Linked DNA regions of Arabidopsis thaliana. The protein of the gene in region 1 interacts with the protein of each later gene in a pairwise test. Each region holds a gene or a part of one and is shown on either strand. Other genes may lie near its edges. The genes, in order: BET10, BT2 and BT4.

Region 1 (6,158 bases):
ACTGGAAGCAGCTTTCCACAAGCATTGCCACCAGCTCTTCCCGAAATAAGCTCTTACTGGTAACACTATTGAGATCATCTTTAATCCTTGCATCTTCAAAGAGAGAAATAATATCTGTCCCAGGCAGAGGCTTCTGACCTCTTCGGGCACTTTCTCTGGCAAAAAGGTGAACACAGAGAGCTGTCCGACAGATACAGGCTAATGCGTGCATCCTGTCCGATTCTGCTCTCAAGTTTCTCACCATAAGCAGCAGTCTTCTAAACAACGAAACCTTCGTAACAAATTCCAAAAAGAATGATTCAGAAATCATAGGCCACAGCTTCAAGACAAAGGTACACAACTAACCGAGCTTAAATGAAGTAAAAAACGACATACCTGCATATGCAGATCAAGCAAGTGCAGGTTCGTAACAACGGCCCTGACTATACTCTCTCTAGCAGAGGAAAATTCTTGGCGGTCCCAGAGTGTTAAAATTGCAATAATGGACTGTGAAGCCCACTCTGGCTTGCCTCCGGCAACATCTGCCAGGTAGAGCATGTTAATTCCCACTTCAAAAATCAAAGCTGGATCCAAAGAGGAAGCCAAGAATGGCGCCAAATGGGTAACCAAATCTGAGACGCCAACCAGCTTCTCGGCGTTGGAGTCCACAACGGTGGCATTAGCTGCAGCAGCAGCAGAGGAAGCCTTGGAAAGCTGTCTAATCACTTCGACACTACCGGAAGCAACAGCTTTGACAGCAAAGACAAGAGGGAAAACAGTGGCTCTGAAGGTTTCGACAGGAAGGACTAAAGACCTAGCCATCAAAGCGCTCCTCTTTCTCCATACAATGTCAACCATGGAAGAGACCCACTTGGACCTGATGGCGAGGGAGTTCTCGCTGTCAACGAGCTTATCGCCAGCAAGACGGCTCATCCGCTTGGAGTCGAACTCCTGGAAGAGTCTGCCGACGGACTCAAAGGCAACCTTGGAGACGGCGTCGGATTTGTCGAGCATGTTCTGGCCGATCCGAGCCCACCAGTTGGAGACCTTGTCGAGGAGACCCACATTGTTCTCGCACAAAGTAACGAGATCATCACGCGCGAGGATGCAGCCAAGTGTCTCGGTGATGGAAAAACGAAGGTTGTCAGATGGAGAATCGAAGCAGGAAGCAATCTCAGAGCTGCAATCAGAGATGAGTTTAGGAAGCGAGAAGGCAGGGAGAGCCGCAAGGATGGAGACGGCAGCGGCGGTAACATCCGGGTCCGGAAAATGAAGATCCGTTTTGACACCTGAGCAAACGGTGTCCCAAAGATCCGGAGTGAGGCGGGTAGATCGGATGAGATCGAATGCCAGCTTCTTACAAACAGCTGAAGCCGGAGAAGCAACAATCTCCTCCACAGCAGACTTAGCGATCACAGAGATATCTCTTCCGGCGGCGGATTGCTGCAGCGCCTGAAGAAGCGCCGATGACTGGCGAAGCGCGTCATTTGAACGGAGGTCCGCCTGGATCTGAGCAAAAAGAATGTCCATAACCGGATCGAATTAACTGAAATTCGAGATCCAAAATCTGAGCTAACTAGCTTCGCTGTCAATCTGTGTACGTATGCGACATGGAACTGGAAGAAGAAGGATGTGTAAATCAAACCATCAATTGAAGAAGAAGGAGAAGAAATTGTTTTCGAAGGAAAAAAGCGCGTGCCGTTCCTGCGATTCGAGCTTTCACAGCGTGCCGTGTTGAGTCATCCGTAGACCCAATAAAGGCACATTAAAAAGTTCATTGGGCTTTACATTATAAGCCCAGGATATTATTTTTATGCACCGAAGTATTTGCATTCGATTTTAATTCGAGGGATCAGATCCGACGGTCCAGATTGAGTCCTGCCCAGTAGCAAAACGGCGTTAGACGCAGCATTCGTTAGGGACGGGACACTAGAGAAGGGAGGGCAGAGAGCGATTTTGTTCTCTCTCTACTTCTCGGTCGTCTTCTTCGTCTCCACTCTAGGGTTTTACTCTATCTTCTTCTTCATCATCATCTTCTACACCAATCTCTAGCGTTAATCTGTTTCTGCTGGAGAAGATTTACGCTTGTTCCTCGGTTCTCTTACTTCTGCTCCGGTTCGATCGCTTGCTAAGTGTTTCGAGTTGGTTAGTTCCGAATTTCCTTTTTTATGCATATTGAGTGTTCACTGCTCTCCTCCAGCAATACTATAGGGCTCTAAGAATTGAATTGCTTTCAGGTTTTCATAGTTAGGGTTTCTCAAAACTGACTTAAATATTTTGATTTGTGCAGGTTCGCACTTCGGTGGGCGATATCATGACTGTGAGGAACGGTGGTTTCCCAGGAGATTATAATCGTAACAGTTTTGACTCTCCCGGCGGCTGTGATGATAGCCCCAATGCTTCCAAGGATGATGAAACTTTTGGTGTCCCGAGAATAGTTTTACCCTTGTCTGACTTGTCATCATCAGAAAGGAGAAAGTGGATTCATACGCTTCGTCAGGAGCTGGAACAACTACGGTCCTTTCAGAAGAGTGTTGGGGACCTTCTTCCTATATCTAAGATTGTTACTAGTACACCTGCAAGTAATGTGTCTCGCCCCAAGAGTTTTGGAATGTCACGATGCTCTACTGGCCCTGGAAAAAGGGTGCTCCCCTTCACAGCAACCAAACCAGAGCCAGTCACCACTTCCACTATGCTTCGGATGAAGCAATGTGAGAGCCTCCTTAAACGATTGATGTCGCAGCAGCATTGTTGGCTCTTTAATACCCCTGTGGACGTCGTCAAGCTCAACATTCCTGATTATTTCACCATTATCAAACATCCTATGGATTTAGGAACTGTTAAAAGCAAGTTAACTTCCGGCACGTATTCAAGCCCTTCAGAGTTTTCTGCTGATGTCCGTCTTACTTTCCGCAATGCTATGACTTATAACCCGTCAGATAATAATGTGTATCGCTTCGCTGATACTCTCAGCAAGTTTTTTGAAGTGAGATGGAAAACTATCGAGAAGAAGTCATCCGGAACCAAATCTGAACCAAGTAACTTGGCTACTCTTGCTCACAAAGATATTGCGATACCTGAGCCTGTGGCTAAGAAGAGAAAGATGAATGCTGTGAAACGTAACAGCCTCTTAGAGCCTGCTAAGCGGGTTATGACAGATGAGGATAGAGTAAAGCTTGGCAGAGATTTGGGGTCCTTGACAGAATTCCCTGTACAGATAATAAATTTCCTGAGAGATCACAGCTCCAAGGAAGAGAGATCTGGAGATGATGAGATAGAGATTGACATCAATGATCTCAGTCATGATGCCTTGTTCCAGTTGCGGGATCTCTTTGATGAGTTTCTGCGAGAAAATCAAAAGAAAGATTCAAACGGTGAACCCTGTGTGTTAGAGGTAATCACCTTTCTATATCTCATTCTTGATCCATTTGTTAACATGACTGATAAACAGCGAAAACTTTCTTGATGTAGCTTTTACATGGGTCAGGGCCAGGAAATTCATTGACGCAACACTGTGATGGTTAGCATACACTGGTTTTGTTGTTTGAGCTAATTCGCATGTCCTACTCTATGATTAAGCTGTCATTTCCTCCTCGTTACTTGCAGGGAGTGAATTGGAGGACGAGGATGTTGACATTGGTAATTATGAGCACCCTATATCTCACATCTCAACTGTCAGAACAGAAAAAGGTATGGCGTTAGAGAACTACAGTGGTTTGTTTAATCTTGCTACATTGTATTTGTCTTTTTCTCTATGGAGCTTTTGCAGACGTTTGATGTTTGCAATTCTTATATGTACTTAACCCTCGGAACCATTTTACTTCCCTCTTGTCAGAAGTGGCCGTCCATCTAGAATACTCAATGTTACTTCTGTAGTTTTTTTGGAGTGAAACTTACTGACCTTACTGATAGCAACTCATATTACACACCTAGTATGATAGTGATAGACCTGTTACATTTTCTGCTTGTTTTACTCCCAGGTCGCTGTTTGCTATTTTCTATAGTGATCATATTATCTCTAATCAGTGATTACTCCTCTTTTGGTGCAAAAGATGTTAAGTTTTGTTGATATTAATTAATAAACCTTGGTTTTCTTATTCCCTTTCTAAAAGCAGATTCCGTCGGTGGATTGAATCAGATGGAAGATGCATCCAGAGGGAAGCTAAGTCTTATTGAGGGGGCAGATGGTCATCAAGATGGTAAGCTCAGAAGTGTAGCAGAAAAATATCTGTGCTCTAATATCTGAGGGTGGCATCTCACTCTTGACCCATTAATAATTTAGGAAATAGTGCTCCAAAAGAGAAGGAACTACCTCCAGAAAAGCGTTACAGGGCTGCTCTATTGAAAAATCGATTTGCGGATATAATCTTGAAGGCTCAAGAGATAACTCTTAATCAGGTTAGCTGTGTTTGTGGAGGTGTGAGCTGTTATATCTGGTTAGCCCTCCCTCTTTGACTTTCAAAATTATATTTGTGAGATCAGAATGAGAAACGAGACCCAGAGACACTGCAACGTGAGAAGGAAGAACTGGAATTGCAAAAGAAGAAAGGTATTCTTGATTTGCTAGTTTCGATTTTTTGATTGATGATATATACCAAGTAGTATATACGTACATAAACTTGTCCTCTTATTGTTTTGTGCACCAGAAAAAGCACGGTTACAAGCAGAAGCCAAGGAAGCTGAAGAAGCTCGTAGAAAAGCTGAGGCACAAGAGGCTAAGAGGAAACTGGAACTTGAAAGAGAAGCAGCCCGGCAGGCATTGCTTGAGGTAAATCAAAATTGCTGCCTTGTACCAGTTTGGTTTTATAAACTGCAATACATGTATATTGATCATTGCCATGACTGAATGGTACACCAGATGGAGAAGTCGGTTGAAATAAATGAGAACACAAGGTTTCTCAAGGACCTAGAACTGCTCAAAACGGTTAACACGGACCAGTTACGAAATCTAAGAGATGTTGGCTCTGAGTCTGATGGGTTGGCTGTATTTGGGTTTGGAGGAAGTAATCCTCTAGAGCAGCTGGGGCTATTTATGAAACATGAGGAGGATGAAGATGAATCCGACATGCTTGCGTTTCCAGATCCCGGCAATGAAGTAGAAGAGGGTGAAATCGACTGAGATTCATGAGTGTTGTGTCTTGGATAACAGCAGTCAAGTGTACATGAGTTGTTGTAAAAAATGATAGTTAGATTGATATTTAACCAATGCGATGGCATTTTATCCGAGTAAACAATCAATAACACTTTGTGTAGTGAGTAAAATTTTGGTTAATTCAATAAACCAATGACCGACAGCACCGAGAGAGAGAGGGAGCATGTCTCAGAGTTAATTCTATAGATTTACACTCGAGTTTGGTAATAGAGCCTCTAGACTCTAGTACCAGCGAAATTGTTGCGTCCAACCAATTTATGTTACCTACAAGGCAATCGTCAGTGTTTAGGTAAGTTGCATCTTGAATTAGGTAGAGTGCCCTTTTGAATATTATAGATTAGTTTGGCCAGTCCCCCAATAGGTGCTATGATCATCAGCACAAGCCCAAAAATGATGCAAAACTGCTCCAAAAAAAAAGATTTAACTTAGCTGTAAGTGTCATATTTAGCTTTTGATCTGAGGACTACAAACATCTTACCCAGTTCATACACCATGAGAGACTAAATCTCTTTGGTTTCTTTAGGATCAGCCACATGATGCATGGGATCTGAAAGATAACATATCATTATGTTTGTTAGAGTTATTAACATGTTGATTGAAGTTTGATGATATCAAGAGCAGTTTAAGAGTAGAGTATTCGCGCTTACAAAGTATGTGGTCGGGGCGAACACAAATCCCCCAAAAAATGACAGCAATGCGCTGTAATACGGTAAACCGACCGCTATTCCCATCGTGGCGGCTGCGATATAGAGGTAAGTTAATCAATCATCAAAATGCTACTCCTCTGAAAAGAATGTGAATTTAGTTTCTTTGGTTTGCAAAAATCACAGAGACTTACCCACAAAAGTCCATCGGATGGTAAACCGTAGAACTCTTGTTGGACTGAAGTGCCATATCCTTATCATTACAGATTCGATCATGTCAAACACGGGCATCGCATACACCTAGGAGGACAAAGCAGATCAGTTAAGGCGGGGAACTACAAGTTTTTTTTTGCTTCTAATGAGAGGCGTTTTCTGGTGTACCT
Region 2 (5,781 bases), about 18 Mb from region 1:
GACAACAAATGCCGAACATTGTTTTTACTATAGAAAACGTGCTATGCATTCTACTGTAGGGTGTGTTTATCGGAGAATGCGGGACTCAGTTGAACCACGGGGTGGTGATTGTTGGGTATGGAGAGACCAAAAATGGAACAAAATATTGGATAGTAAGGAACTCATGGGGACCTGAATGGGGAGAAGGAGGCTATGTTCGGATAGAAAGAGGAATATCGGAGAATGAAGGACGTTGCGGTATAGCCATGGAGGCTTCTTATCCCACCAAGCTCTCTTCGACTCCTTCTACTCATGAGTCAGTAGTTCGTGATGATGTTAAAGACGAGCTCTAGAGACTTTAAGTCATTGAAAACTGAATTTCGAACCATTCTTCTAGTGAGCTTACACTGAGTTTATTATTTTATGGATTGAGGTTCATGGGTTTCAGTTTACACATTTATCGTGTATTCATCTTAAATTGAGACGATTTTTATCTCCTTGTAATATTGGCCAGCATTTGCTTTGCGGAAAAATGGCGTTAAATACTTTACTATGTGCAAGTTTAATTGACTTACAAAATGGCCAAGAATTGTAACTTTTGAGGATAGTGTTTGTAATTATTAAGATCATAAAACAATAATGGACAGTAAAACATCTTTACTATTACAAAAAGTGCAATTCAATTCTCCAAGATGGACGTTTTGTAATTGTAAAGATGTTTTTTTTTCAAATTATTTTCATATTTATTGACATTTTTAGGATCATAACTGGGAACAAACACATTGGACTTAACCCTTGTAAAAGATTACAAAAATTAAAGACATAAATTAAAACACAAAAACCAAAACGTCCAAATCAAAAGGGTAAACAAACCCAACGGGAGAGAAGCTCATAGGCTTAGAAGGGTAAAACGGCGCACCAAGCCTATGAAGCCACACCAAAACCAAAATTAGGTTTTACCAAAACATCGCCAAAGATGTTTTACGGTCGATTATTGGTTCATGTTCTTAATGTCTTACCAATATTATTGAACATATTTGGGAGTCAAAAATTTGAGTCTTTGTAATCACTAATCACGCTAAACACGATATTTTTTTATTTTCAACACACGTTTGAATTCAACTTTTTTGTAATCGCGAAACAACGGATAGAATTATCTAAATTTCAAAATTTTGGCCAAAGTCAATAACATTAAAAACACCTCTTGTAATCCTCCCTTTAATTTGAACATTTATTTGTTTTGTATTACATGCTGACATTTTTCAGATAAATAGAACAAAACAATTGAATATGACCTACTTATACAGCCAATTTAAAAGGGTTTACTCCTATACAAACTAAACCCCTCTAATAAAGAATCGAACTAACAAATACTATTATACTACAAAAAGAATGGATATCAAATTATAAGAAAGCTTCTTACTTAATCTTCTTCAAACCTAACTAACTCCTTCCTGGTTTTGATTAAACCCCTTGTGCTTGTTCACATTTGTTCTTCTTTGACTGACACAACGACGTCATAGCTTTTGCAGACACAACCCTTGTCACCAGAAGCTTCCACTTGGTGTCTTCACCCATTTTCTTGTCTTGTTCTCCCCGTTTCCTAAATTGCCTAGTCCCAAAAAAAAGAGTTGAAAAGAACACATGAGATTCTATTAAAATATCTACAAATTTCAAGAAATGGCAACAATTTGCAGCCGTCGGATTACGACCCATCATCAATTCACATAGCAATTTGCAACTTTTCTAAAGGTGGGTCTACACAAAAAGATAAACAAACCTTGTCTCTTACCAAAAATGAAATTTTTTCACTTTCAACAAAACATTGGTTTTTATTCATAAACATACTAAAAATCATCAATTTCAAACTTACTAATTAAGCGTAAATGGATTCGCTCATACTTTTTGATTTATTTCAAATGTGAAATTCCTAACAAAACAAGTTGGGACATACCTGCAGAGAGGGACGCGACAAGAATCGGGTTGATCACAAATCAAAGAATGGAGTCTAAAGAGTTGAAGCATCCGCTTGCAACGAAGACAACCCTTATCGTTATTCCTCCTCTTGCATACGGCAAAGTGACGTATCAAAAGCTGAAGACCATAACACGTGGAAAACGCCTTACAAGGCTCTGACTTTTCCGCAGTCATTGACTTTTTGTTGTTATCTACTACGTTTGATGGACCGACCAATGTACAACCTTGTGTGCATATGTGCTCTATGCACTCCATTGCCTCGCTTAGTTGCATGTAAAGATCCTGCTCCTTTCTATGTCGTCGCCTTCTTTTCTTCCTCTGCGTTAAATTATAAATCAACACATAATCAGAAAAATGACCAAATGTTTTGGGGTTAATTAGGTATATAAACCAAATCTAATCAAACATGAGTTAACTAATACTCTAAACTTTGTGCAACATGCCAAACTAAATAAACTGAATTTAAAAAAAAAAAAATTATCTTTTTACTAGCGCGGAACAAAAACTAAACCTAGCTGAACAAAATGTGTTATCGAAGGTACTAAGAAAAACAGAGATGCTGTGTTTTCAAAACATATAAGTAAGTTTACCGATTCGGCGTCATCGATGAACTGGAGAATGTCGAGCTCGAGGAAAGGATCATGTTCTTGAATAAACTTCCATCCTTCAGTCTGCTCAACGGTCTTAAACTGCGAATGGATCAGACGCATAGATCGAAGGCAAACATCGGGTGCGTCGCAGAGCCGAGCTAGCTGGAGGACGTCGACTACGTTCTCTGTAGTTAAACGTTGTACAACGCCTTTTGAGCACCGTTGCTTCAGCTGGGTGACCATGTAGACGTGAGACAACGCTAAAAGATGGATTCCATATCTCTCCATCTCATCCTCCGTCAAACTAAAACAGAGACGCAAAAGGGTAGTTTAGTCATTTCCTGACAGCTATTGTTTCCCCAAGAAAATAGCCCAAAAAAAAACAGAGTTTCTTCAAATCCGTGTATGAAAAAGAAAAACCGGGAAAATTGTGTAGTACCGGAAATAACCATCGGTTTGAAGTTTCTACATTTGGAAAATTCAAGAAGAATAACCGAACCAAACCAACCTAGAAGAGTAGAGGAATTTGATAAAAACCGAAACGGCGTCGCATGGAACGCCAAGAATCTTGATGACTCTTTTAGATCCACAGCCTCTGTAACGTCTCATCGGTTTCTTCATGATGTTCATCAGTACCGGTGAAGCTGAAGCCTGCATTATCCACAAATTTTAGCTAAAAACCAAACCAGAAAAATGTAAACCGTAAACCAAAATAAATAACAACTTACCAGAACGCCGGAGTGTGCCGGAATCCGACGGTTATCGGAGGTAACGATCTCAACGTCCGACGTCGGCGTTAGATTATATGAAAGTTTATCGGTGATTAACGAAAATCCGTCGTCTTCCGTTGTGGCGGGGACGGACATTGCGACAAGAACAGCTTCCATTGAAATTTTGTAGAGAAGAAGAAGAAGAGAGATTTCTGTAGGTTTGGTAGTTTGAAGAAGAAAGGCTTTGGCACATTTCTGGTTATATAGACATTAGCGAGGTGGGTCCTACCGTAACCTTTTGGTTGCTTACGTGGCGTCTCGCAAATATCTATTTTATTTTTGCGTCTCTCTATTCTTATCTAACACGCTCGTGATCTGTTTTCACTTAGATTATCACTCTTTTTTTTCTTTTTTTGGCATTTTTATGTGACGGGAATAGCATTTGTGGATAAAGAGATGAAGCTGGATCACTCTTTAAGTCTTTATTACAATAATTTATAACGAACAGGAGAATTCATATTCAAATTTATCTTCCATGAATCATCAAAAAAGAACTGAGAATATGTATCATAGTCGAACGAAACTTCCGAGTGTAGTATTTGAATACTGACAACAAATATCTGAAATTTTAAGTAGTTGGAGTTTTTGGTAAACTAATTCCTAAGTTTTTTTTTTTTTGGTCCGTGGAGATCATGAAAGTTTGGGGATAAAGTTATTATGCAACTATGAACTTTAAGACAATGCAATTATCACGAAATAAAATAAATAAAAACTTTAAGACAATCAAAGATATTGATAAGAGGATTAGGATTAGGATCAACTTGTTCCATAATTTTTGATGATAATTGTCACGAGAAGAAAACTCGCCCAGTGTTTTGTTTCCATGGCATCTTAGCTTATCTAGGGTTTAACGCAAATATTTTGGTTTATACCTTAAGTGGCGCCCCATTTTTTCCATGAGAACTTAGTTAAACAATGTCTCAACCATAGCAAGAGTGATGAGTTTAATTTCCATGAGAAGTTAGTTAAACAATGTCCCACTAACAAGCTCAATTTTGTATTTAATTTCAATTGCTTATATTTGTTTTAAACCTTTTAATATATATTACCGACTTGGTGTAACATGCATAAGAATTTAACATAGATAATGTTCTATTTGATTTGTGTATTGAGCTGGACCAACGGTGTAAGTTACACCGTGTAACACTGTCCGTATTATATTCCCAACATTAGGAAAATAAGATGAAAACAAAAAATGAAAATATTTGCATAATTTACGTTCCTGAAAAAAAGTGACTATTATAAGGTTGCTTTTGTTTGTGATCCGAAAAACAAGACGACCTTTTTGTTCCATGTAGGCAGATTTATGTTTTCTTATCAATCCAATGTGGAAAGTGAACAAATCCGGGACCAATATTGTTTTTGGCTTTGCGTCAAAGAGCTGTTTATTAAAAAAAAACTAGAAAAGCCGGTTATTGCAATAAACCGACCTTTGCCTCTTCCCAAGAGCCACCTCTCCTCATCCCTCGTGGCATTTTGTTCTCATCCAATCTTACACGCCCTCTTGTATTGCCAATTGTGATCCTTTTGTTTATCCATTGTGTGACTCAATCTGTGTCAACGGAATTTTGTGTTCGATTAAAATATTTTCCATAAGATAAATGAATACATGACTTTTAAATCGAACGTTCTTATCCGTTTTGGATATATTTTTAACTATCTTAGTAATAGCTTTGAATTTCGAACATTTTCTTCCTAATCGCATAGATCATTAACTTTTGTAATCACATATATTGTTTCATGGTATTTTTTTTTGTAAAAGTATTTCATTAAATTCCTCAATCAATCTAGGTAAGACTACAATTTACTACTAAATAATAGTGTTTTTTTTTTTTTAATGTTGGTAGAAAAATTAACCTACCATTTATAGCAAAGAAAAACTCTGTTTTTAGGTAATTGACCTATATTTTATCATTTTTAATATTAATTACTTTTTTACTTAATTTTCATGAAACATTTTGGACCCTGTCTATAATTATAAATTTGGAGAAAAAAGAACTATGAAATTTATGGAATTAAAAAAAAAAAGTGTATAGTGCGATTGTTACGTTGGATTTGGGGAGTAAGTTCGCCGCATAAATGTTGATTTGTTGGAAATTAGGTTTGGTGCAATGATTTTGATCCATTAAAAACGCCACGTGGAGAAATGAACATTGGCTTGGTTGGATTTGGAGTTGGCGTTTTGATCTCACGTCCTAGGCCAATGAATTCATCATTTCAAACCATTTTTCTTGTTTAATTATAAACACAGTTTTAAAATTAATGCAAATAGATTCATTGTAAAACAAAAAGCTAAAAAATTCAAAGTTTGTTGATAAGTTTCCGCATCAGAAAAATAGTGATCGGTCCGACCCATAAATAGATTTGATTAACTTTCTCATTATTGGTCGGAGTCTCGGAGATGTCCATTCCCCATATTATTGGTTGAATACTTTATCTAAAAGCCAACTTCATTAATACTAATC
Region 3 (4,644 bases), on another chromosome or scaffold:
GTCTATAAATGATCAAATTTTCGTAACAAATAAGGAACCTTTTTTTTCTTAGTTTTTTATTTGTCAGCAATTTAAATATAGATAGATATATATATGAAAATTTCGTAATTTCTTGATTTTGGTTAAGTTTTGTGTTTCTTTGTTGTTGAAGGAATCAGAACCCAATACGAAAGTGATTAGAAAAAGGGATTTTGAAAGGAGAAGAAAATATATACTACACATGATACGATCATTGTTGAGGATTTGGTTTTGTGACAATGAATGTTTCCAACATTACTAATTTAATGAAATAGAAACATGTGATGTGAGTGAGGCCGATTTTGTGTACACTTGTACCACGTCCTCTCAGCTCTTACTGCTTTTGTCTTGTTCTACGTCACTTTTTCCCACCACGATCTTTTCGTTTCCTTTTTTCCATATTTGGATTTATTAAAAATAACAAAGCAAGTTGGGTCCTATAAAATTTGGTAGATTCTTCTTCTTCTGTTCATTTCACAACAAGATGACTCACTGAGCTTATTACCAATTTTGCCACTTAATCACTAAACCGATCCGTAGACCGGATTTGATATTCCAGAGACTCTCTTGGCCGACCAAAATATGTGTCATTTATTCAAACTCATTATGTTACACTTGTTTTAAAGATAGGATCACAAGAAACGCTTAAAACTCGCCCTTCTTGAGATTGACAAAATGTTTTTTAACAGTTTGTCACCGGTAAAAAGAAAGGAGAGCCTCCGATTTTCTTACTCCCCAATACATTCTTCACCAGAAGTTTCCATCTCGACTCATCTTTCTTGCTCTGTTTCTCCATCTTCTCCTTAAGGTTTCTGCATAGAGGGACTCGACATTGATCAGAACCTGCGCAAACACGTGAATGCAGTTCAAGGAGTTGCCACATTCTCTTGCAATGCACGCAACCTCCTGGAACTCTTAGCTTACAGCCTGCGAAATGCCGGATCAGTGATTCTAATCCCTTGCAAGCTTCATAGTTACACGTTGCATGGTTCGGTTTGAAATCTTTATCGTGTGGCCCTATTGTTTTACATCCATCTCTGCATATATGAACAAGTGCTTCCATTGCTTCGTATAGCTGCGAATATATCCTCTGATCATTGCGTTTTCTCATCCTCTCTTTCCGCGTCTGCGTTTATGTTCAAGATTTAGAATTTAGGAGAAAATACAGGGAAAAAAGGAAGTTTATTAAATCACTACTTACATTTGCTTCGATGATTACTGAGTCTCTAACTTCTTTCTCAAGAAAGGGATGGCTTTTCTTCATAGCTGTCCATGCTTCTGTCGCAGAGAGTTCGTTAAAGTGTTTCATGATCATACGGTGAGATATGAGGCTAAGCCGAGGGAAATCACACAGCAGCGCAAGCTGGAACACATCAACCACATTCTCAGTGGTAAGCAAACCATGTTCTAGATGCCATTCACAGACCCGTTTCAGCTGAGGAACCACGTACGCGTGTGACAGAAGTAGCAAATGCATGATAAACTCGTTCATTTCTTCTTTCTCATAGCTACACAAAGGAAATCAGATTTCGTCAGTGAAAAGATCATAAGACGAATGTTAAAAGAGGCAGAGCAAATAAATATAGAGAGCAAGAAGAAATGGAATTTATATATACCAAGAAGAGTAGAGGAAACGGATAAAAACTCGCACAGCATCATGAGGGACACCTCGGATTGATATTGTATGCCACTTGCCATGTCTCTTGGCTTGCTTCAACATGCCTTTGATCACAGTGGAAGCAGTTCCCTATTAATTCAAGAAAGACAATGTCCATATCAACCAAGTCTAGACCTTTCTAATCAACTGCTAAAGTCTGTATTCGCTTAGCTAAAGATCCTAACTACACATTGATAATTATGGTCAAAGGAGTTATAAGGAGAGCTTACAAGGATGTTGGCATGAGCATAGATGATACTGCCATTATCTGTATAGATGACTACATCAGCTTTGTATCCGTCATTGAAAAGACGATCCCACATATCTCTTGTGGCTGTCGAAACGCTGCTATGCCCAAGTTTTTTCTTGAGTCCATCAGATTTTGATGGAAGAGGAGGAGGAATTGGCACAGAAGATGAATCTGCAGATTTGAAAGATTGATGAAGATCAACACAACCTGTCACCATTCTCTTGTTTAGCTTATCTTCTCTTCCCTGCATCAATCAAATGAAAATATATATTGTCGATTCTTTAGCCACAGATAAACTTCATTGTCATTTCTACACGAAATATGTGACTCAGACAACAATTTTCACAGCATTATGTAACCAGATCTCATTTACGATTACAAATCGAATAGGATAAGAACAAATCTCTACATATATATTCACACGAAAATATCAATCAGAAATAACAAGAATTCTTGAAACAGATCGATAGAAAATGTAAGAACAAGAATCAATCAATGCTCTAATTTGTTCCGACATATATACCTTGAAAAGATTCAGACCACAGAATCAGGTTGCTTCGAAGAGGCAAGTCAAACAAAATTAACGAGAAAATCTTCTCCTTGGTAGAAAGAGCATGAGAAGAAACTCTCTCTATAGAGAAGCTTGAGAGATCAGAGATCTCTTACCATTATATAAACACACACACTCACAAAAACAATAGAAGACGACAAAAAAAATCCCACCGAAAGGATAATTTATTGTTTTAATTTCCTTATTATCTCACTTTTTTCTTACTTTTGTGTTCAATAATTTGAAGATATTTTCTTGGTTCATATCATCAACAGAGACACCCACCTGCGAAAATTACCCGAGAGGCGCGTGGAGTCTACGGTTACGAAACGGACGGCTGAGAATCCACGCGCCTTAACGGCCTTTTTTCCTCGTTCTTGAAAAAGCTTTCGTCAAGTTGGTTTTATTATCGGCTTTATCAATTGAAACACGACTCTGCATGTTTTTTTTTTATAAATGATTTAATTTAAGAGCCGTACAAAAACAGATCAGTGTGTCCTTTGTTTTTTTTGTTCTTGTTCGGCGTTACACAGCTCATAATTAGCTGTTCGTTTTTTCAAACTTTTATCCGTATTATTATCCTTTCTTCTTCAAAGATAAATTTAGATTAGTCTTAATTTTAACCACATGATCAGATACTCTCTTCAAAAATGTTAACTAATCGTGAATTATGTTGAGGTCCGCAAAATTGCGTCATAAATATTTTACTGGTCTCTCTTCATATTTCTTAGCTTCGCTTGAATTGATTGTTACCCTTTTTTCCCTTTTTTTCTGTGTTTACTATAATGCCACGTTTCTTCTATCGAATAATCTAAAACAGAAGAAGAAGAAGTCAAAATGCTTTTTATATGATCATTTTCTTGTATTTTTTTTTAGTTTTTGATCGGAGTAAAGTTATAAGAACTTCAAAAAAAAAAAAAAAAAAAAAATGCATGATGATGCCAATCTTTTTCTAACTTTTAAAGAGTATTGGAACATAATACATATATCATGTAAACTGATATTTTTAATTGTAATTTTATATCATATACGGATTTAATTGTAATTTGAGCATCACCCAGTTGTGCAATTGTAGTTATCACAGAAGTGCACATTGCAATGTTGTTGAACAACAGAAATACCTTGACATCATCTCACTGACCCATGCAGCCATGCCTAAACTTGGACCAGAACTCATGTAACCACCGGGTAATGTCAAACCTGAACTCTGAACTCTCAGGTTAGTTAAACTCATCTCTTGTTGTTTCCTTAATTCTAAATCATCACTAAACCTGTATTAAAGTGTCCCAAATTTTTTAGATAGAGATGTATAGATGCACATTTAACCCACCTGAGGAAGAACTTATTAACTATTACTGGAATAACAAGATCACCAGAGAATGATGATCCAAATAAAGGCAACGAATTTGAAGTTCTACTACATTTTCTTCCATTTTCTCCATTATTTTGCAAATACATAAACACATAAAACGAATTTATTTCCATTTTTCCCAGAAATATATAAGAACAAGCTAAAACACAGGGATACATGAATCCTCTCAGAAATCAGAGCATCGACCACGTTGTTCCCAATCGCCGTACCGAGTCGGTTCAGGACCTCTAGGCCCTCCAATCTCACCAGTATCTTCGTTCACAAACTCTCCACCTCCACCACCTTCTCCTTCCTCTTCTTCTTCCTTCTGCATCTGCAGATTCTGTTGAAGATTCTGATCTGGCTTCACGTCCCGGTTCAGATCCTGATTCGGAGATGGAGCTTGCGGCGGAGGAGGTGTACCGGAGCTTAGAAACCGTGACACTGGCTCGAGGAATCTAGAGGAGACGGATCGGCTTGGAGCGATCAAACGTACGATGTTGTTCGTCGCCATTGTTAGATCAGATGTGTCGGCCAAATCAAGAAAGAGATCCGACCTTCACGGTTTGTGATAGTATAGGGTTCGATAGTCATTTAGGTTGGGCCATAATTGGATAATAAGCCCAGTAGTATCTAGGCCCAATCATTTACATGTTTATAAATAAATTAAGAGAATTAGAGAGTAAATTTGGCCCAGTATAATTATGTTTAACAAGCCCATCAGGAGCTAGGCCTAACATGTTTATAAAACAAATAGGAGAGAATTAGAGGGTAAAGTTGACGTGGGCTGATTTCGAACCCGTAACCTTTTTATATAT

Evidence for each region.
Region 2: the proteins of BET10 (region 1) and BT2 interact in a two-hybrid assay, tested with the Arabidopsis thaliana proteins (one study listed by BioGRID).
Region 3: the proteins of BET10 (region 1) and BT4 interact in a two-hybrid assay, tested with the Arabidopsis thaliana proteins (one study listed by BioGRID).

What each region holds. Positions count from the first base shown.
Region 1 is NC_003074.8:274,522-280,679, reverse strand, and holds BET10 (bromodomain and extraterminal domain protein 10), read left to right. Parts: upstream 1-1,838; 5' UTR 1,839-2,124; intron 2,125-2,269; 5' UTR 2,270-2,293; coding exon 2,294-3,373; intron 3,374-3,450; coding exon 3,451-3,499; intron 3,500-3,585; coding exon 3,586-3,669; intron 3,670-4,094; coding exon 4,095-4,178; intron 4,179-4,261; coding exon 4,262-4,377; coding exon of another isoform or gene 4,378-4,434; exon of another isoform or gene 4,435-4,461; coding exon 4,462-4,528; intron 4,529-4,625; coding exon 4,626-4,747; intron 4,748-4,837; coding exon 4,838-5,098; 3' UTR 5,099-5,347; downstream 5,348-6,158. Other genes in the region: TPLATE (ARM repeat superfamily protein), read right to left, coding at 1-271, 376-1,509; AT3G01760 (Transmembrane amino acid transporter family protein), read right to left, coding at 5,410-5,532, 5,610-5,678, 5,779-5,870, 5,970-6,075, 6,157-6,158.
Region 2 is NC_003074.8:17,907,039-17,912,819, forward strand, and holds BT2 (BTB and TAZ domain protein 2), read right to left. Parts: upstream 3,701-5,781; 5' UTR 3,434-3,700; coding exon 3,275-3,433; intron 3,198-3,274; coding exon 3,055-3,197; exon of another isoform or gene 2,851-3,054; coding exon 2,547-2,850; intron 2,275-2,546; coding exon 1,934-2,274; coding exon of another isoform or gene 1,876-1,933; exon of another isoform or gene 1,592-1,875; coding exon 1,444-1,591; 3' UTR 729-1,443; downstream 1-728. Other genes in the region: CEP3 (Cysteine proteinases superfamily protein), read left to right, coding at 60-332. UniProt on the Arabidopsis thaliana protein: May act as a substrate-specific adapter of an E3 ubiquitin-protein ligase complex (CUL3-RBX1-BTB) which mediates the ubiquitination and subsequent proteasomal degradation of target proteins.
Region 3 is NC_003076.8:26,930,355-26,934,998, forward strand, and holds BT4 (BTB and TAZ domain protein 4), read right to left. Parts: upstream 2,472-4,644; 5' UTR 2,176-2,471; coding exon 1,906-2,175; intron 1,766-1,905; coding exon 1,635-1,765; intron 1,527-1,634; coding exon 1,220-1,526; intron 1,145-1,219; coding exon 701-1,144; 3' UTR 586-700; downstream 1-585. Other genes in the region: AT5G67490 (succinate dehydrogenase assembly factor), read right to left, coding at 4,014-4,340. UniProt on the Arabidopsis thaliana protein: May act as a substrate-specific adapter of an E3 ubiquitin-protein ligase complex (CUL3-RBX1-BTB) which mediates the ubiquitination and subsequent proteasomal degradation of target proteins.